Linked DNA regions of Pelodiscus sinensis. Each later gene encodes a partner of the first gene's protein in a complex. Links are inferred from orthologs where the notes say so. Each region holds a gene or a part of one and is shown in the gene's direction. Other genes may lie near its edges.

What was found.
Region 2: the proteins of BACH1 (region 1) and FBXO22 are in contact, whole or in part, in a cryo-EM structure (PDB 8S7D), measured with the Homo sapiens proteins. The link is inferred for Pelodiscus sinensis from reciprocal best matches to the Homo sapiens genes BACH1 and FBXO22. Residues at the interface, in NP_001177.1 of Homo sapiens: Ser7, Val8, Phe9, Ala10, Tyr11, Glu12, Ser13, Ser14, Val15; in NP_671717.1 of Homo sapiens: Asp366, Gly371, Asn372, Phe373, Ile374, Leu375, Arg376, Lys377, Cys378.
Region 3: the proteins of BACH1 (region 1) and FBXL17 are in contact, whole or in part, in a cryo-EM structure (PDB 8UAH), measured with the Homo sapiens proteins. The link is inferred for Pelodiscus sinensis from reciprocal best matches to the Homo sapiens genes BACH1 and FBXL17. Residues at the interface, in NP_001177.1 of Homo sapiens: Val20, Leu21, Ser23, Leu24, Gln27, Val32, Leu33, Asp35, Phe39, His48, Arg49, Ser50, Val51, Ala53, Ala54, Cys55, Ser56, Ser57, His60, Ser61, Arg62, Val64, Asn72, Thr74, Pro76, His116, Asn117; in NP_001156787.2 of Homo sapiens: Asp395, Arg421, Asn447, Gln473, Gln498, Glu499, Met524, Arg548, Cys574, Leu575, Tyr598, Val600, Ser601, Asp623, Trp626, Met651, Arg652, Val676, Gln678, Asp679, Cys680, Arg682, Thr683, Glu685, Gln689, Trp692.

What each region holds. Positions count from the first base shown.
Region 1 is NC_134711.1:181,342,344-181,349,715, forward strand, and holds the start of BACH1 (transcription regulator protein BACH1), read left to right. Parts: upstream 1-4,353; 5' UTR 4,354-4,744; intron 4,745-7,372. UniProt on the Homo sapiens protein: Transcriptional regulator that acts as a repressor or activator, depending on the context. Binds to NF-E2 DNA binding sites. Plays important roles in coordinating transcription activation and repression by MAFK.
Region 2 is NC_134724.1:31,595,747-31,603,163, forward strand, and holds the start of FBXO22 (F-box only protein 22), read left to right. Parts: upstream 1-4,371; 5' UTR 4,372-4,864; coding exon 4,865-5,466; intron 5,467-7,019; coding exon 7,020-7,152; intron 7,153-7,417. UniProt on the Homo sapiens protein: Substrate-recognition component of the SCF (SKP1-CUL1-F-box protein)-type E3 ubiquitin ligase complex that is implicated in the control of various cellular processes such as cell cycle control, transcriptional regulation, DNA damage repair, and apoptosis.
Region 3 is NC_134716.1:63,827,070-63,834,475, forward strand, and holds the start of FBXL17 (F-box/LRR-repeat protein 17), read left to right. Parts: upstream 1-4,382; 5' UTR 4,383-4,576; coding exon 4,577-5,323; intron 5,324-7,406. UniProt on the Homo sapiens protein: Substrate-recognition component of the SCF(FBXL17) E3 ubiquitin ligase complex, a key component of a quality control pathway required to ensure functional dimerization of BTB domain-containing proteins (dimerization quality control, DQC).

The sequences.
Region 1 (7,372 bases):
CGCTGCCTCTGTCAGAGAGGCACAGCAAGTGTGTGGGGGATGAGGGGAGGGGATCAGGAGCCAGTGATGGGGGGGAACTGGCTTAAAAGCCATCTCGATGGGGCAGGGGAGGCAGAGGCATAGTGGGAGACTGGGTGCAAAGCAGGAATCAGTTGATTCCCGGCTTACTCCTGGTCCCCCCTGCTGAGCATCTGCCTTTTAAATGCGTTAAGAGCCTGGCAGTTCTTAATACATCTAAAAGGCAGAGCCATAGCGGAGTTTCCCCCCTTATCGACTAATTGAGTAGTAAATGGAAATTCCATTGACTACTCGATTAGCTGACTACCCACAATTTAACATCCCTAATTCAAAGTATAACAAAATTAATGAGTCTTGGTTCTAATTCTTAACAATGGAGACCTGAGGTTATATGCTTCATTACATACGTGCCATTGTACATTTAATAAATGTCATTTTTAATTTTTCACTCAGGTTCAAGAAGCAAGATACCATGGCCATCATTTTAGGTGGTGAACAAGGGTAAAAGCTTTTAATCTGAAAACAGACTTGAAGTAATGAGGAACTTTAATGACCCAGACATCTGTCTGAACAGCATGCCAGAAACCAAATTGTTCAATAAGTTCTTGGACCGTACTGTGGACCACTCTGTTTTAGAAAGTAGAGACAGTAACCAGGGGGACAGCCATTTAAGAGTTTGTGCTGAGTAGAGAAGAATTGACTGTAAGTTTTAAGGTGGTAGACAATCTGGGTGAAAATCATCATGAAATAATAGTTTTCTTGAGTATAAGGAAAGGTGGAAGTCAGAGCAGAGGAATAAGGGCAATTGACTTAGTACACTTTTACAAATTCAGAGAACTGTTATGTAAAGTACGTTGGAAAGAAAATCTAACAGATAAAGCAAGTTCAGGAGACCGGACAGTTTCTCAAGGAGACAACAGTAAAGACACAACTACAAATTATCCCAATTTAAAGAAACATAGGAATAGGAAGAGGTCAATATAACTATTAGGAGCCCTTTAAAATAAAAAAAAAATTCTACAAAATGCGGGAACATGGACAAATTGCTAAGCAGGGGTGCAAAAGAATAGCACAAGCACATAGAGTTACAAAATTTACAGAACAAAATGAATTACACCTACCAAGAAACATAAGTTCTTTAATTATATTAGAAGCAAGAGAGAGTGAGAGAAAAATATGTCTTTTACTTTTCAGGGAAGGAGCGCTAATAACTGTGGACATAAAGGCTGAAGTTTTCACTAAGAAGATTAATGATGATCAGATATTTAACACAATTAATATGAACAAAGGGGGAGGGGAAAGGAAGCCAAAATAAGGAAAGAACAGGTTAAAGAATATGTACGTAAGCTAGATGTACTGAAGTTAATATGGTACTGAAATTCATCCTAGAGTAGTTAAGGAACTAGCTGAACCATTAATTATCTTGGAGAATTCTTGGAGGACAGGTGAGGTTCCAGAGACCAGCAGAAGGATAAACTTATACCAATCATTAAAAAGGGGAACAAGAAGATCCTGGGAGCACTCACCTCACTTCAATATCTGGGACGATATAGGAGCAATTAAAATTAAACAATTTGAAAGCAACCAAATGATAACAGCATTATAAGTTACACCCCGCAGAAAGCGCTTTCACTAAGACATGTGGCACAGTCCCATATAACGTTTTATAAGCAAACTAGGGAAACACAATGTAAATTTAATTATTATAAAAGGGGTGCACTAGTTGAAAGACAATCACACGATTAGTTGATAAAGGGAGCCACTCTGCAGAGCCACAGTGGGGATAGTTCCCAGCTCACACCTGCTCCAGAAATGCTCAGTCCCAGCTTGCACCAAGTCTAGCAGCCCCTCTTCGTGGCAGCCTGAGTTGGCCGCAGGCAGGGGCTGCTGCTGGAACGGCCTCTGCCCATGGCCAGCCCAGACCCCTGTGGACAGGGCCTGCCCTGAAACAGTCTCAGCTTGCTGCAAGCAGATAGAGATAGGCTGATAGAGGCGGGGAAAGCAGCACTACAGAGACAGTGCTGAAGGGAAACCAGCTTTTAAGCGGACTTCCCCCCAGCACCAGCTCCTATTCTCCCCCTTGCTGCCTCTCATAAAGAAGCAGCAGTGGGGGAAGGGGGAGAGGAGAAGGAGGAGGGAGAGAGGGAGTAGTCAGGTACTCAGCTACTCGCTTACATCCCTATTTGGTATTATTATGAATGACTCAGATAACATTAATAGGAAACCCACTTTTAAAAGTTGATGATGACACCAAACTAGGAGAGATTGCACATACTTTGGAAGATAGGATTGGAATTCAAAGTAATCTTGATAAAATGGAAAGTCAGTCTAAACAGATTAAATTCAATAAAGACAAGTGCAAATTATTTCACTCATGATGGAAAAAAAATGCTCAACTGCAAGATACAGAATAACTAGTAGAGATGCTGAACGGAATATAGGAATAATAGTGGAACACAAATTGAGCCCACAGTATGTTGCAGTTGTGAAAAAAAGCATTCTGGGATGTATTAACGGAAGTGTTGTGTATTTAAGCCAAGGAATGTTACTGTCCAATTGTAACAGTGTGATTCACCAGCACAGTGCCTCCTGTTGGACACTCTGGGAATTAGGTTTTTAGCTCTGGAGCACTTCCTTTCAGCAGGTGTCATTCTTCCTATGAGCTCTGCCACTCTGTTAGGACTCACACTCTTCCAAGACTATGGTACCCTTTCCCCTTGGTACTCTCCTGCTGCAGTGCCTCCACACTCTGTGGTCTTCCCTTTCTAGGAACCCTTAACTCCCTATGTCCCCCCCCTTGCCTCAGAGACTCACTGCCAATCTCCATCTAGCCCCTGCCAGAGGGATAGACTGCAGTCTGAAATGACCACTCATCATAGGCAAGAGAGTGTGGACCTACTACCTTTGCCTACCCTGGCTGCCCCCCTGCAGAGGTAGTACTTGCCTAGGAGAGCTTCCCCAGCACTGCTCTAAGTTAGGAAGCCTCTAGCTTCCCTGGTAGCTAGGTCCCTTCTGCTCTACAGCTGGAGCAAGAGTGAATCCAAACCTCTCCTTTCCCTCCAGGAGCCTTTATTTATTTATACTTCCTTGAGATGGGCCCTAATTGGCTAATTCCTGCCAAAAGCTGCTGGCTCCACAGATCCACTGCTCCAGCCCTCTCCCAGGCTGGGTTTTAACCCTTAAAGGGCCAGTGTGGGGGCAAATGCCCCATCACACCCACTCTACTTGACACTGGTGAGGCCTCAGTTGGAGTTCTGTGATTAATTCTGGGTGCCACACAATGAAAAATGTAGACAAATTGGAGAGTTCGTAGGAGTCCAACAAAAATGAGGTTTAGAAAAACCTAACCTACGAGGAAGGATTAAAAGAACTTGGCATGTATTCTAGAAGAAGACTGAGGAAGGACCTCATAATAATTTTCAAATACAGCAAGAGCAATTATAAAGAGGACATTGATCAACTGTTCTCCCTGTTCACTAAAGGCAGGCTTAATCTGCAAGAGAGATTTAGGCTAGACAGCAGAAAAAAAATTCAAATCATAAGGGTGGTAAGCTCCGAAAGAGGCTTCCAAAAGAGGTTGTGGAAGTCTCATCACTGGAGAGTTTTAAGAACAGGTTAGACAAACACCTGTCAGGAACAGTCTAAGTTTATTCGGTCCTGTTTTGATACAGGGTGCTGAAGTTGATGAGCACTCATGGTCCTGTCCAGCCCTATGTTTCTGTAATTTCAACACATTTTTATTTCCTCAAAACTGCTGCAAGGTTTGGAGTTATTTGTTCCACTGTGGCAGAAAACCAAATTTCAAAAGTTTCCTTGCAATGGCATCGTTGCCTTCCTTAGCTCGAGTGCTTGGGGCTGGAGTCGCTCTGCTTCCTCTAAAGCTCGGGAATCCAGCCCACAACACTGACCAGCTAACATTGTGCAATGAGCATCTTCACAGGCTTCCCAACACAGCTACCTCACGTGAGAAAAGGGGCAAGCCTGGGAAACCCTAGCCAGGTAACAAGCCCCTGCGGATGGTTGGGAGTCTACATGCGGGTGAGCAGGGGCTGTGCACAGGCGGCCATGAGGCCTTGCATGGGGCCTTGGCTTTAGCGTGCGGTGCTAAACCCCGGATTCACACAGCGCGCGCCACCATGCCCCGGAGCGAGGAGCAGAACGTTCCAAAGCCCAACGGCCACGCTCGCGCCCCCCGGGGGCCACGCTAACAGCTCCGCGGCGGAAAGAAAGCGACGGCGCTGAGCCTGACGCGCACGCGCGCTGTAGTCAACGTTGGCGTCAGAGCGTCGACCGGGCCGGCAGCGTCCAATCAGCGGGCAGGAAGTGAGGGGTCGGGGCAGGGGGAGGAGGACTGTTGTTACGGGTCAGCTGATTCCTTCCCGTCGCCGCAGTTCGGGGCAGCTGAGCCCTGCCTGGGCCTGGGGAGGACGCGCCTGTCCCGCTGGCGGAAGGTGAAGCGGGGAGCGCAGCTGTTGGCGCCGCGGGGCTCTTCTGTGGCCGGTTCGGGGTCAGAACCCGCCTGGGGCTGTGGGACCCGCGCCGCCGCTGGAGGGGAGCTCGGCGAGCGGGGCCGTGTCTGCTCCCTTCCCCCGGCACCTGGGCCGAGGTGGGCAGCTGTCCGGGCGCCACGGGCCCTGAGCGCTGGCTCTGCCCTGGCTGCCCCCGCGCCGTTCCTGGTGAGCCGGGCGAAAGGAGCAGGGCTGCCCTCGGACCCGCGTTGGGACAGGTACGTAGCAGCTGCCGCCTCCGCGCCCGCGTGGCTTTGCGTTGGCAGGTTTTTCCATGAAGTCCGGCGCTCTCCGGAACCGGGCACTTCACTATTCATCGTTTCCCTGCTGCGTGTCCGCCGGCCAGTGTGCTTAGGGCTCACCCCACGCCTCCCCCGCCCCGGAAAATCGCCCTCCTCCTTTCAGACAAAGGAGCCCCTCAGTCTTACTAATTTGGTTTTAATGGTTTGGTTTGGATGAATCTCCTAATTGTGAGCATTACGGCGTCTCTCATCAATTGTAGAAGTCCAGCCGATTTCAATTTAGACTTTTCCGGGAAGATGTGCTTTTAGTCTGTACTGTGAGAAGCCTCGCATGTGACGGGCATTGGAAAATCAAATTGAAAATGACAATTACGGAGAGGTTGTCACCAATTTAATAGTTAAACTAGCAGTGAGAGGACCTGAATTGGCATTTTTAACACCATAATACTGCAGTAATTTCAAATTCATACAGACCTGCATCTTGCTAAGTGCTAATTATTTTTAATCAGTTGTGAGCAGTTATACAGTTCCAAAACATTACAGGATAAAAGACAAAATAGTTTGACACACCGTGTAGATCTCTGGGTGAAAAGAGAAAGCATGGCAGTATTGTTATACATAGCTACAACCCAAGGGAGCATGCCTAAAAACTATGGCTCCACAGTTAAAGAGTATGTCTATGAAAATCCAGGGAATGGTACAGTCCTCAGGGCCCCAGCAGGAACATCTACAGTGTTGTTTTTAGCCCTGCAAGGTGAGCCACAGAGCCCAAGTCATTGACCTGAGTGTTGCAACTTAGCACTATGGGTTTCTTTCCGTCATACATATACTCTGCAACCAATTCTGCTCCCCTGAAGGCTGAAGTACTGTAGTTGTCTGTTCTTTAAACTCAGAATCACATGACATAGCTGAAAATAAATATGAGTTTGAACTAAGTGTGCTGAGAGAATGTGGACATATATTTTCATGCTTTTGTGGGTTTGTCAATCTGTAAGTAATTGTACTGAATTAATTGAGACTACTCATGTGCATGAGTATCTGCAAGATTGAGGGCCTAATTTATGAATGGTTTGATGCTAAACAATTTCAAGTGTTTCATAATGGGAATTTTTAGGCACTGTTAACTTTTTTTATGCTAAAATCATCTGAAATTGTTTATGGCTGTTGATGTCAGCATGTGTTGTTATTGCCCTTCTCATTTGCTGTTGTTGGAATCACCCGGGGGGGGGGGGGGGGGGGGAGATCCTGCTTTCACATTTTATTACCCTAATATGACCATCACCATTGTGTGTAGTGTGAATGCAGTTTTTCATACATGATTTATAGGAGCAAGTCTCGAGTGCTCTTTTTTCAAAATTAGTGAAATTATAATCTGGAGAAAAATAGATCAAGTAGGCATAATTCTTCTTTCATGTTAAATATGTTCAGAAAATGTATGCACATATGAATCCCCTACACACATCTGAGCACCCTGCACCAACTTTTCCAAGTGTTTGGTATGGCCAGACCTCTTAGTTCTTTTTTCAGATTATTTTTTGTTAAATTCTGTAGCTGTTGTGAGGATACGTCTACACAGCAGTGTTATTTCAGAATGACTGACATTATTCTGAAATAACATAGTGCACATCTACATTACAAGCCTCTATTTCGAAATACTGTTAAGCTGGAGGACTTCTTACTCCAATTCATGGTAACCGTCATTTCATGAGGAGTAAGGGAGGTCAAAGGAAGAGTGTTTATTCTTTTGACTTCCTACAGTGTAGACAGCACCAAAAGCTGAATTAAGCTGTTTTGACTTAAGCTATGCAGTTAACATAGCTGAAGTTACATAGCTTAATTTGACTTTAGCCCTACTGTGTAAATGCACCCTGATTATGGAAAGAATCTCTTTTTTTGGTTCTTTATTTGCTGCCTAGTTACTTGCAGGTATTGACCACACATGATTCCCTTCACTCAGGTGCAGTGATGCTTTTAACTTGAGTTGATTGGCCCTAGAGGGGAGGGTAGCCCAGGGTTTATTTACAAAGTTGCTTTATTGCTCTGTAACTTTCTTGCTCAGGGGTGTAAAAAACATTCTTCTCTCCTCTCTCTTCCCGCCAGCTAGCAAGTTACAGTGCTGTCAAGTGCAGTGTAAACACACTCACAGTACTGTTAGCTACTCCCTTTGTGGCAGTGGTTTTATCTAGAGCCCATTGGTGCTGCATTTAAAACTTCAATGGTGACAACTTGTTGGCTGAATATGAGTTAGCATACCCCTTTTCCTGGGGAGTGCACAGCCAAAACTTGTCAGCTATTAGTTTTCATCCACTCTATTGAATGTGTTAGTGCTGATAGTCCTCCAGTACCTTCCTTATTTACTACCCTGCTCCCAGATATTACCAACGAGGAAGAATTCATAGTGCCCTGTTTACTGAAACAATAAAGCCATGCGATGTACCTCCAGAAAAACTAGTGCCACATAAATGAGTGCACTGCCTGTGTGGCTATAACTGTAATATTGTTTTACATGACCAATCGCTGGAGCAAGGCCAAAGCCTCATTTTTTCTAGAATAAGGCTTGTTCTTAACTTGCATTATGTAACACGAGAGTGTTATTAATTTTCA
Region 2 (7,417 bases), on another chromosome or scaffold:
AGACATCACCTGATTCAGATTTGTAGAAATAATGTTGAAATAATGTAGAAATAATCATGATAGTACTTTTTGTTATTGAAAGACTAACAGGAACTATTATTTCATTATTTTGGAAATGAATCTGGGTCTGTGTAATTACTATATTTCATTGCCTTATCTAAATCAATTCTATTTTGGTTGTAGTATTAGTGATTAGATCTTTGTACTGCCAGGGATTGATATAAGGGTGTGTACCATGGATTAAGCACTTTTTTTTTGCCCAGAAGCATGTGGGTTTTTTAAGTTACAGCTATCAGATTTGTGCTCTTCTTTTCTCTATCAGACACACATGAGGCCTTGTGCATTTGCTTCTAGATCCAGTTTTTAGCTTGAAAGAACAGATGAAGGAATTTGGCACTACTCCTGATAAGTACTCTTTGTTTCAAATAGTTTTCTAGGGAGCATAGTGGATGACTTGCCAGCCTTTCTGCTTACTTGGTTGTACATATATTCATATGCAATCTTGGTAGCCAGTTGCTCGGACAGCAACCTTAAGAGAGAGGCAGAACACTTTAAGCATTAAAAGTTCCTTAAAAGCTGAGGCTAAAATCTTTGAATACATTATTAAATTCTTTAATATTCTAATGGGCTAGCAGGTTGACAGATGCACATTTGGCATGCTTTGTTTTGAATTTCATTTTTCATTGCAGAATTATTTGGCAATGTACAGTAATTTGTAAACTTGCATCAAGTTTATGAATAAAGAACCATTTTAAGAATTATTCTGTTTGTGGTTAGTCTTCAAATATAGACAGCTTTCTGTTCATAAACATACATGTGTGTGTTCCCAACCAATGCAATTTATAAAAAGGAAAAACTGGTCAACAGGTTAAAAACACTTTGAATTTCAGGCTCATGAGCACAGGTGTAAAATAATCCTGTGAAAAGCTCCATTAAGTATATAGACTAGGGCATTCTGCACTAGATAATGTTCCTAAATTGTCTTTAGGTTAAGGATGTTAAGTAACTACTCGACTAATTCATATGCAGGGGTTCTTGTGTATTTCAAAGTGACAATGCAGCATGGAGTCCGGGGTCAGTAGGGGACTCAAGTCCCCCGCTGACCCCAGGCTCCATGCTGTGGTGCCAATTGGAAATGCCACGTGGAGCTGGGGTCAGCTGGGGACTGGGTATTTGCTTATTGGATAGTCAACTAGTCCTTAACATTCCTACTTTAGGTATGGGCCCATAAAATGCATTATAGTCTATAGACTGAGGAACCTATGACCCAGCTTGCCAGGATCCAGCCCCGAGACTCAGGACTTCTTCCCCCCCAGCAGTGGGGAGCCTCTGCTGGCACTTCAGCCCCTGCTGCCCCCTGCCTGCCTGACTTTTCTATGAGTCAGCGGCCCCTGACCCAAAAGGGTTCCCCACCTTTGGTCTAAATATAAAAATCACATGGATCAATGGTAATAAGGCCCATAAGGAGTCGAGGGTGGGGGGAGAGATTGACTTGCCCAGCCACAGATGAGAAGTATTCCACTGCTGCTACTTTATCCTCTAACATCAAAGGGACTTTCAAACTGCATGTCTCATTAACCAACAAGACTACATCTACACTGCAAGGTTTTTGCGCAAAAACAGCTGTTTTTGCACAAAAACCCGTGGAGCAGCCACACCTCAAATGTGCTTTTGTGCAAGTAAATTAACCGTAAAACGGCAGAAGGGAGGGCTTTTTCCGGCATAGGTAAACCTCCTTTTACGAGGCATAACTCCTTTTTGCGCTACAGCTATTGTGCAAAAAGGCTAGTGTGGATGCTCCAGAGGGGTTTCTTGTGCCTGTGGGAAAAAGCATGGCCATAAACATGGCCTTTCTGTGAATGGCAATCAGAGCTTCCTTGCGCAAGAGCATTCATGCAGTGTGGACACTCTCTTGCGCAAAACCACATCACTTTTGCAATGTGCTTTGAGGTGAGGACGTGCTTTTGCATAAGAAATTTTTGTGCAAAAACTCTTGTGCAAAAGGCTTCTTGTGCAAGAAGCCTGCAGTGTAGATGTAGCCCAAGTGAGCAAATGGAAGGAAAGCAATCAGATTCAATCTTTCACCTCTTTCATTTCACTTTCCTCCCCATCCAGACACCTTAAACTTTCTTGGAATCAAGCCTCCCATTGCAGCCTTTATCTAATTCCTCTGATCTTGCTAGGAAAACCAGAAACCTACTCAGTCACAGACAGAGCTGAAAATCATTAGCACAGCAGCCAAATTACCTAATTTGGCAAGTGGAAGCAAACAGTACTGTGCTGCCTCACACTTCCCTTTGTCAAAGAATCCTTGTGTTGAGTTCACAATCTAAATCAGAAACAGGAAACAAAATAATTGTTTTGCAGTAAGATCATATTTGAGTTTGACCCCCATTCACCTTGAAAAAATGGAAAATCTTTCTAAACCTAAAAATTAAAAATGCAGTGAGTGCACCTCAACTCTACTTATAGTGGCAATGTTCTATGGGAATATAGGGCAAAAATGTGTTGAGCTGCATGGGCATGGGAAATGTCACTTTCAATACAGATGTTGATACTAAAGTAACTTTCAAGTTTTACTCTCTGTATAGAAATCTGCATTAAAGGAACATTAACATAGAAACTGCTGACCATTTCTGAAAGTTGTTTGCAATATTGTTGTAGTTGTACTGGATCCCAGGATTATGAGAAAAGGTGGGTGAGATCTTGGAACATCTTTTGTTGGTAGAAGAGATAGATACGCTTTTGCGCTAAACAACAGCTTCTTGGGTTTCTAAAATGACACTTAAAGCATTGATGGGTGCTACAGCTACCCATATCTGCTTCATCTGCTTTTTTTGTATGTGATATTAAAATTAGTTTATTTTTCACTTCTTTCCTAATGAGCAACTATGCAGTTAGCTTAATCATTACTTCTCTATAAAGTAAAATGTTGTGTGGGGATTGGGACCATTTTAATTTAAAATATGCTGCTGGATGTTTGTGTACCTTTTTTCTTATGCACATAATCAGAAGGCCCGATTAGTGTTGATAAGCTCTAATCCAGCTAGAGCCCGTGCCTTAAAAATCACTCACCTATATATGCAACTAAGGTGATCAGGCATCCTGTTTTGGACTGGGATAACTGGTCACTCCAGTCAGCAATGCACCATTGGATGGCAGGCTTCCTGCTAGCTGCTGCACCATGCTGTGTAGTTCCTGATTGTTCCCAGCCTATAGGGCTGCAGTCACGGTGTCTGGTGTCCTGCCTCTCAGTCCCTGAAGCAGGGCTGAGACAGAGGAAGCTCCAGACAACTAGCAAGAAGTTACGCAGCAGTCCTGACATGCAGCAGGCACCAGGAGAGCAGATGAGGCAAGGGCAGAATGGGAGATATGACAACAGAGGGGAAAAGGGAGAAGTTTATAACTTGGGTGCCACAGTGGCACACATCTGAACAAGTGCACATGACCTCAATATTGGTACACAAAACTCGCTCCTCATGAATGGAAAATCTTAGAGGGAACACTGCTTTGCACCCATGGGGACTCAGTCTTGGGGGAGGAGTCAAGCAATGGCTCGGTCCTTGAGGATGCCATGGACTGGACCCCTGCAGGACTGGATACCCCGGGGTCACCTACCCACCCACCCGGGCCATGCCCAGCCTCCCTACCCCTCCATTTCCCTGAACCCTCTCCCCCCCCCCCCCCCCGGCCTATTCCCAGGGGCACCATGCTCCCATCTCTCTGAATCCTCTCAGCTGCTCTGCCCCCAGCTTTAGCCCCAGGCACTTCCTACCCCTGGCTAGACACCCTGCCCCTGAACTGCTCATATATCCTCCCTACTAGCCAGACACCCTACCCTCAGGCTGCTTCTGCACCCCTCTCTTGGCCAAACACCCTACCTTCAGCCTGCTCTTGCACCCTCTCTTGCTCCTGCACCTTCCCCCTGTCAGTCTTCCTATTCCAGCCTGCTTTTGCACCCTATTTCCCACCCAAACCTTGCACCCCACCTCCCTCCCAGATTCTGAATCCCTTCCCTAGCCCATCCACGGGCTGCCCTGTCCCACACACTGAACACCTCATTTTCCCCCCACCCCAGAGCCCAAGGGGATCCATAAAATCCACTAACTCTGGAACCACAGGAAAGTAAATCTGGCCTCTGAGAAGCCCTGAACCTTGGTCTTCCCTTCCCCCGTGGGGCTTGAGTGCCAGAGGAGTGAGGTATCTCAGTTGGGGGGCCACAGCAGTGAGGGTTTGGGGAATAGCTTTTTTGCTTCTCACTTATGTAGTCCCCACCTGATTTCTCTGTGGGTCAGTGGTCCCTGACACAAAAAATGATTCCCCACAACTGCCATAAAGAAAACACTGAAACCTTTTGTGTTGGACATAAATTAATATTTTATTATTTAAAATGAAGTTTGATAAACATGAGAAAGTTAAATTAAATCAGTTTCCCTAGTTGCAGCACTAGCAAAATGTCTTGGGCAAAATTATGTAATTAACGGTGAGTTTCCATTAGCAACTGGTGGTCCACAGAAAGGTTTCCATTGAGCCAGGTGGTCCATAGGCCAAAGAATTTGAGAACCACTGGCCAAATGATTACACACAGCCCCTTCCATTCTTCCCTGCCCGCTATCTCAGAATCAAAGGTAGCAATGCGCCCAGGGGTGGGGAGAGGCAAGAGTTGGTGCTCATGGGCTGCCTACTTAAAAAAGCTGGCTCCCTATGCCTCCCTCTGTGTAAAGGTGTAGCCACTGTAAATTTCAATGGCTTATAAAATAATGAGTTTTTAGCATCGCTAGTAGAAGGGGGTGCAAGGTTTGGGAGGAAATGGTTGGGGGGGGATGCGCATGAAGAGGTTTCAGGTGGTGAGCAGCTGCAGGAGATGGAGCTCCAGGTGCAGGCTCTAAGGCATTTCCTTGGAGGCGGCTGGCAGCTCCACGTGGCGCTCTGCTCTGCACAGGGGAGACAGCAGCACTACCCCTGCTGCAGCCTCTTCGCTCCCATTGGCGGCCCCCCCTCGGAGAGTCGCCGGAAGCGGTCAGCCTGGAGCTGCTGCGCGGGGTCACGGCAGATCCCGTCCGGCCGTGTCTGCTGCTGCGCGTTCCGGCCCGGGCGGGGTCAGCCACCCCACAGCCGCCTCCACCCTGCTCCGCAGCAGGGAGCAGAACCCAACGCGCCGCGTGCCGCGCTAGCCACGCCCACTAGCGAGTCACTCCCCGCGTCATTCATCAGGTCACGTGGCCACTGCTCAGACGCTAGCCGCCGGATCCCGCGCGAGCAGATGACGTGCGTTAGAGGCGGACCGGAAGTGGGCGCCTTACGGATGACGTACTCGGAGTGCGCCGCCTGGGTCGCGAGGAAGGCCGTGGGCGCAGTTGCCATGGAGCTGGACGGCAAACGGGCCTACGTGCTGAGTAACCTGTGCGTGGTGGTGGAGCGGGTCCTGAGCTTCCTGCCCACCAAGGCGCTGCTGCGGGCAGCCTGGTGAGGAGCGGCCTTGGGTTTCCTCTTAGTCCGCATCGGGCCTGGCCTCGCGTCCCCGCTGCTTCCCCCTGGCGCCCGGTGCGCAGGTCGGAGCTGCAGGCCCGCCAGGCCTCGTTTCTGAGCAGGCGAGGAATGGGCTCGAGGCGTTTATCTGAGCGGGGAGCGGCTTGTGGGCGGGGCTTGTAACAACGCTTGTCGCGTGTTAACGTTGACGGATTATTTGTGCTCGTCCGATGACAAGTGTTTTCCCCACGAGCGCTCGGGATCCCGTGTCTCCATGTAGAGCAGGCCCTGCCGCGCCGCGGGACTGTGCGTGGCTTTTGGAATCACAGACCAGCCCGGCTACCCCCGAAGCGCTTTGGGTTCTTCCAGTAAATGCTCTTCTCTAGCAGCACAGCTGCTTTGGTTAGCAGAGCTGCAACACAAACCACGGAAGCAGGAGTTTTGTGGTTGCTTGACACATTTCTTTTAAAACTAACTATGTTACATGAGCCAAGGGCTTCTGAATGTTTCAAATCAACATTTTTCTTTTTTGAAGAAAAACATCACTGTGTTCTTTACATACATTGAGTTTTGTTGGCACTAAATTCTTATGAGTCAGAAGAATAGATTTTGTGACCAAATCTAATGATACAAGAAAAAATACTTTTTTGAGAATACAAGGAGTATGCGGTCCTTTCAATATTTTAAAAAAAGTTACATTATCTGGACTTTAACACCATTTTGTTTTACTGATTTATATATTTGAGCTGTAGAGAGGAGCTGAGAATGAATTATTCAATATGCCCTTTTGACCAGCATCACCATTATTTGCTTAATTTGTTCTGACTGGTACTGAATTAGGTAGTCAAAATTGACAGCATTTTTTTAAATCGGAAACAACTCTTAGGACAATACCCATACAAATAATGCAGTCAGTTTGTGCTTTAATAAAAATTAGTAGAAAACTAATCCACTGTTTATACCAGGGCTACTCAATTTGGAAGCCCCGGCAGCCACAATCATACAGCACATGCTGAGGGCTGCCACTCAAGTGTGGTTGCACGTACATGCAAATATATATGCAAATACATGCAAATAGCTTCTTTCACACTGATGGACAGGAATACAAAGATTTAGGCAAGACTGCACAATGTGCAGGCCCTATTTAAGTCAGTTGCGCTGATATTAATAAAATTCAATAGTTACCATCTTTCCACAGCACTTTTAATGAGCAATGGCAGTCCAGGAATTTAACAACTAAAATGCATATCAACAGAAGATCGTTATATTGGTTTGCCATTATGGAGCGTGTTCCCAGTGCAGGCCATGTTCAAAAGATCCCACCCGCGGGCCGCATGTTGAGCCCCGCGTAAACCCAAACTGTACTGCAGGCTGCAGCCCACCATGTGTTAAGTAGCCCTGGTTTACACTCTGTTTTAAACTTGAAATTTTTTTTTAAGGGTAAGATTTTCTCAAGAATGTGGGTAGACACTTAGAAGTCAACAAGAAAAAAATGGTTGACAGCTGCTAAGTTTTTGTTTTGTGTATTGTAGTAAAGCTTTGTATTTCAGTGTTTGCCGTTTGTGGAGAGAATGTGCCCGTAGATTACTGAGAACACAGCAGAGCATAGAGTGGGTCTCTGCACTTGAGCCTGGTCCATCTGATAGTCATTCACTGGTCCGTGCATTAGCTGAAGAACTTGAGGTAGGTAAAATACCATTGTTAATTATATACATTGCAATGGCCAATGTGAATTTCTAGCTACTGTGGTACAATGGGGATGTTAGATGGCAGGTAATAAAATAGTCAATTAACCACATGAATTCTTAGTGATTAGTTGACTATTCTGTGGTACCTGTGGGGCAGGGCTGGCAGTCAGTGCAATCCAGACCCACTCTCTGGGATCCCCTGCCATCCTGCATTGCTGGACTGGAAGGTTGAGTGGTGTGGCTGCTCTGGTGGATGGGGA
Region 3 (7,406 bases), on another chromosome or scaffold:
ACCCCGCTTCAGATATCTTAATGGAGTGAACAATCATCATGAATTAGCAGAACTGATTCAGAAGGTTTATTTATCCATGGTTCTTGTTGTTGCTATCAGGATAGGACAATGGAAAAGACCTATTTCTATTTGTAAGGTGCATCCTACAATCCTATTACACTAGCTAAGAGATGCTAAACTAACAGTATATATAAATTCTATACATTTTCATTAAAGAAAAAGTTTCAACGAGGCGGTCCCAAACCCAAGTTAATGATCAGAAAAATTGGATGAACAATGTGGTTACAAGGAATGCCAGACAAAGATAGGCAATTTACAGCAGGATGCCAAATTAAAGTTACTGTTAACAAATGTAATGTAACAAATTGGAAGGTACTTAAATTACTCACACAAAGTGCTACGATCTAAATAAACTATATCCAGAAAGGAAAAAGAGTTTCACTTCTTGAACACTGTTTGGTGTTCAGGACTAGTCATTCTATGTTGAAAAGGATACAGCAGAAAAAAACAATATCCAGAAACGGGTTACAAAAATTATGAGAAGTGTTGGGAAAAATACCAGATAAGAAGAGAAGAAAGAAGATAGAGGAACTTCATGCTTTTAGAGCATTCCTACCATGAGCTGCAACTAATCGCTCATCACCTTTATGCATGGGCAGGCTTGTGCCCATCCACCTCTTGATTCTTAGTAGGTGCAACTAATCACTGTGTTTGACTTTAAGCAAAGGTTACTATGGGTTGAACCTCTCTAATCTGGCACCCTCCAGACCTGACTGATGCTGAACCAGAAAATTTGCTGAACTATGGGAGCTCAATAATGTCTAACAACATTACTAACACTTCCACTGCTTAGAACACATTTAGGGATAAATGAGATCTAAATAACGGCACAGAACACTAAAATCCTGGAGCAGTGGCTGTAAACAAACTTTACAGGACCGTGGAGAAACTTGGTCACACCCATGATAAGTGGACATCTGGAACATCAAGGGAAAAACTATGCCAAATCTGACATTAATTTCTATTTGAATTTTTAAATGAATTGTAATGTTTTACAGATTCAGATTAAATTCTCTCATATGGATGTTTTTCTTTAAGATGCAACATACCTTATCTTGTGCTGTTAAAGACAGCATTGGAAATATATGTAGAAAACAAAAATATAATGTGTCATTGATCATGTAATCCCAACATAAAAAGTTGTTATTGATAATAGGTATTCTCAATAGGATCATATATTTTTAATTAAAATCTGTTTTTTCCCTCTTAGTGAAGGGCAAAATTCTCCTCTTATTTGAACATGATGTAAATGAAGAGCAATCCAATTTATACACTGTAACAAAGAGCAAATTTTTGCCCCATATTGTTTAAAAACTAAGGCACTTTGGGGTATTTTATTAAAGTTATTAAGGCAGTAATCTAGCAAATGCTTAGACACAAGCTCAGCTCAAAACTGCCATTAACACTGAGCCCTGTGGATAAATTTTAAGACTTAAATGTAACCACTTGTGTCTTTGCAGGGACCTAAAGAGAGACCAATTATACAATCTGTTTCTTGTAGACCAAACTGTTAAAAGCATTAAACCCAAAAGAAGTCAGCTGGAACATTTAGAGTTTGGGGGAAAAAATCTAAAGAGGGGACATAGAGTTTGGGGGAAGCCAAACACCGGGGGCTACATCTACACTACCAGCCTCTTCTGCAAGAGGAAATGCAAATGGAGCCCTCATTTGTATATGTCACATTCTCATTTGCATTTCCTCCTCGGATCCCTTTTGCGCAAGAAGTTTTTGCACAAAAAAGATGCTGTGTAGTCATCCTAAGTGTGATTTTGAAATATATGTTACATGTGTAACTTCATTCATCTTGTTAACTCCACTTAAATCAATAGGAACAACTCACATAAATCAAGTTACTTGCTTGTCTGCGGAAGTGGGCCTATACATAAACATAATGTATGCTTGTCTTTAAAACTTTTAACACAATTAAGGGATATTTTTTCAGTTAACATTTTCATCTATTAAATAAGATTTTTTGGGGGGGGATGTCAATGTGTAGAGGATCACATGATTAACAGATAAGGCTGGGCTTATTGGTTAATTCCGTTGACTACACACACAGAGGTAGCAAAGGTGGGGAAGGCAGCACCTGGTGCCAGTGGGACGGTGTGGTGACACTGGATCCCACAGAGCTGTCTGTCCCCCTATGCTGCTGCCTCCATATCAGAGGGACCGGTGCGGTAGGGAGTGAGGATGGTAGAAGCAGATACACATGGGCTATGTCTACACTGGCGAGTTCTTGCGCAAGAACAGCCATTCTTGCGCAAGAACCCACAGAGTGTCCACACTGCCCGCCTGCTCTTGCACAAGAAGATTTACAGTACAGTGTTGGAAGAAAGGGCTTCCCGTGCAAGAGCTATGTTCTTTTCTAACAAGTGTAAGCCCTCTTGCACAAGAGGACAGTGTGGATGCGCGGCCGGGGCTTCTTGTGCAAGAAAGCCCTATGGCTAAACTGGCCATCAGAGCTTTCTTGTGCAAGAGAGCGTCCACACTGCCATGGATGTTCTTGCGCAAAAGCACATGGCAGTGTGAACGTGTTCTTGTGCAAGAGTTCTTGTGCAAGAACCTGCCAATGTAGACATAGCCATGGAGAGCTGACTTTTAAGCCAGCTCTCCGTACATGTCATCTCCATGGAGCTGCCTGCCCCCCACCTTACTGCCTCCCAATGAGGTGGGGGGAGGAAGGCAGGAGTCAGTGTTCAAGGGGAGCAGGCTTAAAAAAGCTGGCTTCCCACGAGCATTGAGTCTGCTTCCCTTTCCCCCCACACTGCTACCTCTGTCAGATGCAGTGGTGCAGGAGGGCAAGCAAGGGAGGCTGCTATGGAACAGCCTCTGACTGCAGTGGGCCCTGGGCTTGCCTACAGCCCCCTGCTGATGGCAGGGGGCTCCCTGTGAGTGGGGTCTGGAGCACACAGTCCTCGGGGCAGGGCCAGGGCCAGGGCCAGGGCCAGCAGCCAATCCAACAGTCATGTAGTGACTAAAAATTGATGTGGTTACACAATTATTCAATTACATGGTATCTAACATCCTCCCTATCTTTTCCAGAATATTGATCTCATATAGTTGTCTGTTTTCAATGGTTTTACACAATTCTTTCTGATAAAAATGTTACAATAAACTATTGTTAAAACATTATCCAAATTCCAAAAAATACGCTATTCGTGTGTATCTCAACTCCACTGTATTTTTAAAATCAGAACATTCTCATGATTGTGGTTAGACTGAAATCAAGGGGAAGAACAGCCCAGCAACCCAGGTCCTGGGCCATATTGTCCAGTACAGTATACAGGAAAAACAGGGTGGTGGTGCAAGTTGTGTGTGAGAATTTGGTCCGGTGTTGTGAAATGTAGTTTTTCCTCAGTAATTTAGTTACTTTGGGGAGCCTATTTTAAAAGCCAGTTCTTTTGTTAGGTGTTAGGGAGGGATAGTAATCCCTGAAATGTTGAATCTGATTGAAATTCTTGGGGAAGCCGTTCTTGGAGGTGATTACCATATTGGAAAGCAGCTCTTGGGGGATGTTTGGGGCAATTTGTGGGGGGGGGACACAGACTGTTGTGAGCGAACACTACCCATGGCAGTGTGTGTAGTCTCTTGGGCCGTGTCCAGACTCAGGGGTTCTTTCGAAAAAAGTAGCCTTTTTTCGAAAGAACTTCCCCTGCGTCCAGACTCAAGCCGCGTTCTTTCGAAATTATTTCGAAAGAATGCGGCTTTTCTTTCGATGGCGGTAAACCTCAATTTACGAGGAAGAACGCCTTCTTTCGAAAGTTTCTCTTTTGAAAGAAGGCGTTCTTCAATGTAAAGAGGCCATCTTCGAAAGAGAGCATCCAGACTCGCTGGGTGCTCTCTTTTGAAAAAGCGGATTTCTCTTTCGAAAGATCCGCCTGCAGTCTAGACGCGATCTTTCGAAAGAGGCTCTTTCGAAAGATGCTTTCGAAAGAGCCTCTTTCGAAAGAAGCCTGCAGTCTAGACATAGCCTTGGTGCAGTACGGAGCAATATGCTTGTGTTAAAAGAAGTTCCTTTGTGTGGCCTGAGGGAGCAGAAGCAGGGCACTTGTGTTTGTGTGAGGAGGAAGGAGTGGGGGCTGTTGTGAGCTGTGTGTGTGTGTGAGAGGACTGTGGGGCTGTCCCAGAGTGTGGGGGGGGGGGGGGGGGGAGGAAGGGGGAGAGTGCAAGTACTGTAGGAGCAGAGTGGCTGGGCTCGGGGAGGGCGGCCGCCGGAGTTGCGGCTTGGCGGCCCTAGCACAGCCCGGCCGTAGGCGGCAGCACCGCAGAGCGCCAGTGCCGGAGCGGCCCCTCTTGGCGGGCCGCGAGCGGCTTCTGGGTAAGGTCAGGGCGGCGGTAGCGGAAGCTTCTCCCCGTTCAATATCCCGGAAGAACCGGCGCCACCTCCCGCTCCCCGCCTAGCGACCGGGCCCATGACACCCGCCGCCCCTGCCCCCCGCCGCAGCTGACACCGCGAAGGGACCTGCCCGGGGACGGCGGCCGGGCCCCCGCAAATCCCCGCTCCGGAGCCTCCTATATGGGCCACCTGCTCTCGAGGGAGGGAACCAGCCTGAGCGGGGAGAGGAGCCGCCGCCGCCGCCGCCGGAGAAAGGTGCCGCAGCGCAGCCGGAGCTGCTTTCTGCGCGGGCCCTGCATGCTCTGCTTCATCGTGCACGGCGCCAGCACGCCCGCCCCGGAGCAGCCCCTGCCCGGCCGGGACTCGCCTCGCTGCGCGGCCCTCAGCTCCCCGGAGCAGCGCGCCGCCCGCCGCCTCCTGCACCTCCCGCCCGGCGCCTGGGAGCAGCGGGGCCCGTGTCAGCGCCTGCTCCTGTCGGGCCTGCTGCCCCCGCCCGTGCGGGCCTTCCTGGGCTCAGCGCGGCCGCCCGGCGAGCCGGCCCCCGACATGGTGTGTAAGCGCAAAGGGGCCGGCCTGCCCGCCTGCCCTCCCTGCAAACAGCCCCGCTGCGCCGCCGCCCCGCCGGAACCGGAGGCCGCCGCCTGCCAGTGTCCGAGCGAGCAGCAGCAGCTCTGCCCCCTGCCCTGTGCCACCGACCGCGCTGCCAGCGCTGGGGGGCCGCCGCTCAGGGGCCCGGCCGGGGAGAGCAGCGGCGTGGGGGAGCTGGCTCCGGCTCCTGAGCTGCCCCCGCCGTACGAGGAGGAGGAGGAGGAAAGCAACGAGCCGGAGCGACAGGAGCCGCCCGAGAACCACAGCGAGTGCTGCCGAGAGCCGCCGCTATCGCCTCCCTCCGACATCAACCAGCTACCGCCCTCCATCCTGCTCAAGGTGAGTCTGGATGCGGGCCTGACCCCGCCGCGGGGACGGTGATTCCTCGCAAGCGGCTTTAGAGGGAGCCAGAGTTGAAAGTGACTCTGTGGTGCTGCTCAGGGAGCTGTCAGGATGGTGAGAAAGGGCCGCCTTTCTTCCTTGCGGGGCTCTGGCTATGGATATGCAGGGTATGTCTCCTCGCTGCACCCACACACCCAGGGGGATGACCTGTGTCAGCTGACTCGGTTTCAAGGGAATCAGGATAGAGATCTGTTTAATGGGGCATAGAGATATTTGGGTTGTTGCATCAGGGGTAGGAGACAAGGCAACGTTAGACCAAGGTTAGTGGGACTTGAGCTTGCTGACTAATGTTCAGGAACCCTGGCATTGAGTGTCTGAATTATATTTAACACCTACCACAAGCTTTTTCTAATCTGGGTTCAAATTCTAGGGTTCTGGCATCCACATTGTAGTACACAGATCTGATTTAAAGCTTCCAAAGTACCTACCATGTAGCCTGTTCCCTAAAAGGTGGAAGCTTTCATTCTTAGACTTGGGTAGTGTAGGAAACTTTACTGCCAGCTCTGTTACCAGGAAAAAGCTTATTTTGCAGAAGGTGTGATTAGATTGCTTTCTGTTGCAAATTCCGGAGGTCTCTGAACTTGTGCTTGCAGGTCAGTGGTCAGAAAGAATGGTTCAGTGCTGACTTGAGCTGCTGCCTTTTGCCAACTGTATGTGGGAGGTGAAAGTCTTCCGTTTTCAATGGTGGATTAAAGATTATTGGGATAAGGAAGACTAAGGAATCTTGTTCAGTGGAATTATGGTGTATTTCCAGATGGCTCTCAGGACTTCAGTCAAATTTGAGCGCATTTGCACTGCAAAGCAGTAGGGCTCAGAAGCTGGGTCCCAGGTTGACTCCAGCTTCTGTGTCAAAGCACTGGGATTGCACAACTGCAGTGTAGATCCTAAGGAGTTAGCTTTGATCCTGGGCTGAATCACAGGTGTATGAGCCAGTACAAACATACCCTGGAATCCTGCTTTTGCGCTTCAGGTTTACTGCTTTTCTTCACTAAGGCTTGTAGGTATGTTTACATCAATACATAAAGTTAATACTCTAATAGGCACATGTAAGAGATTTCACATAGAGACAAATGCTGATCCTGTTGCAGTGAGTATGAGCAGGATCAGACCCCCCTTTTTTTTTCTGAACAGTAGACAAGAAATAGTATCCTCTTATGTCCCTCCTCCCACCCCACTATGCAGATACTCAGGGATAAGTCAAACTCAAGTCTTCCTTTTCCACAGAATTAAATTGATCTACTTCAGGTTAACATATGGCTACCACAATAATTATTGCTGTTTTTCATGTTCACATTGGCCCCCCCACTGCTCGTGGTGCATGTTGTCGTGAAGAGTGCTTGTATGGATAAAAGTGAAACATTGTGGGGAGTGAAAGAGGAGGTCCCTTATTCCTTCATCTCAGGGGCTGACAGCGGGAGCTGGGAGGGCAAGGATCCAGTGGTGAACTCAGGATGGGACTGACAGCAGGGTAGCAGGGCTCCTATATCTGATTTCCAGATCAGGGCTGACAGTCAAGAGGTTATGTAGGTCTGGAGTCTCAAACACATAGCTCGTGAGCCATTTGCGACCTGAGCAGTTGCACAATCTGGCCTGCACGTGGCTGCTGGCGTGTGAATCCCTGTGACTCTGGGGGGTTCCTGTACTCTTCTCCCAAGTCCAGTCGCTGCTCTACCCCACCTGTTCCCCACAGGGACATAGCCTAAGTGATTACTGGGGACAACCTCTTCCCTGGCCCTCACCATAGTGGTAGGAGCTGCAGAGAAGTGGAGTAATGTAGCAGCTTCTGCCACAATATACCAGTCTAGCCTGGTTGCTTTGCTTCACCATGGCAGCAGGAAGTGGAATGTTCTAGCCCCACACCGGGCTTAGGAAATGGCAGTAGAGCAGAGCAGGCTGCTGTGTTGCTCTACTTTCCCATAGCTCCTACACTCATGGTGAGTACAGGGGGGCCTGATCCCTAGTGCTGGCCACAGCCTGCCCAGAACTCTGCAGCATAACCTGTGGGGAGCGGAAACGGGAG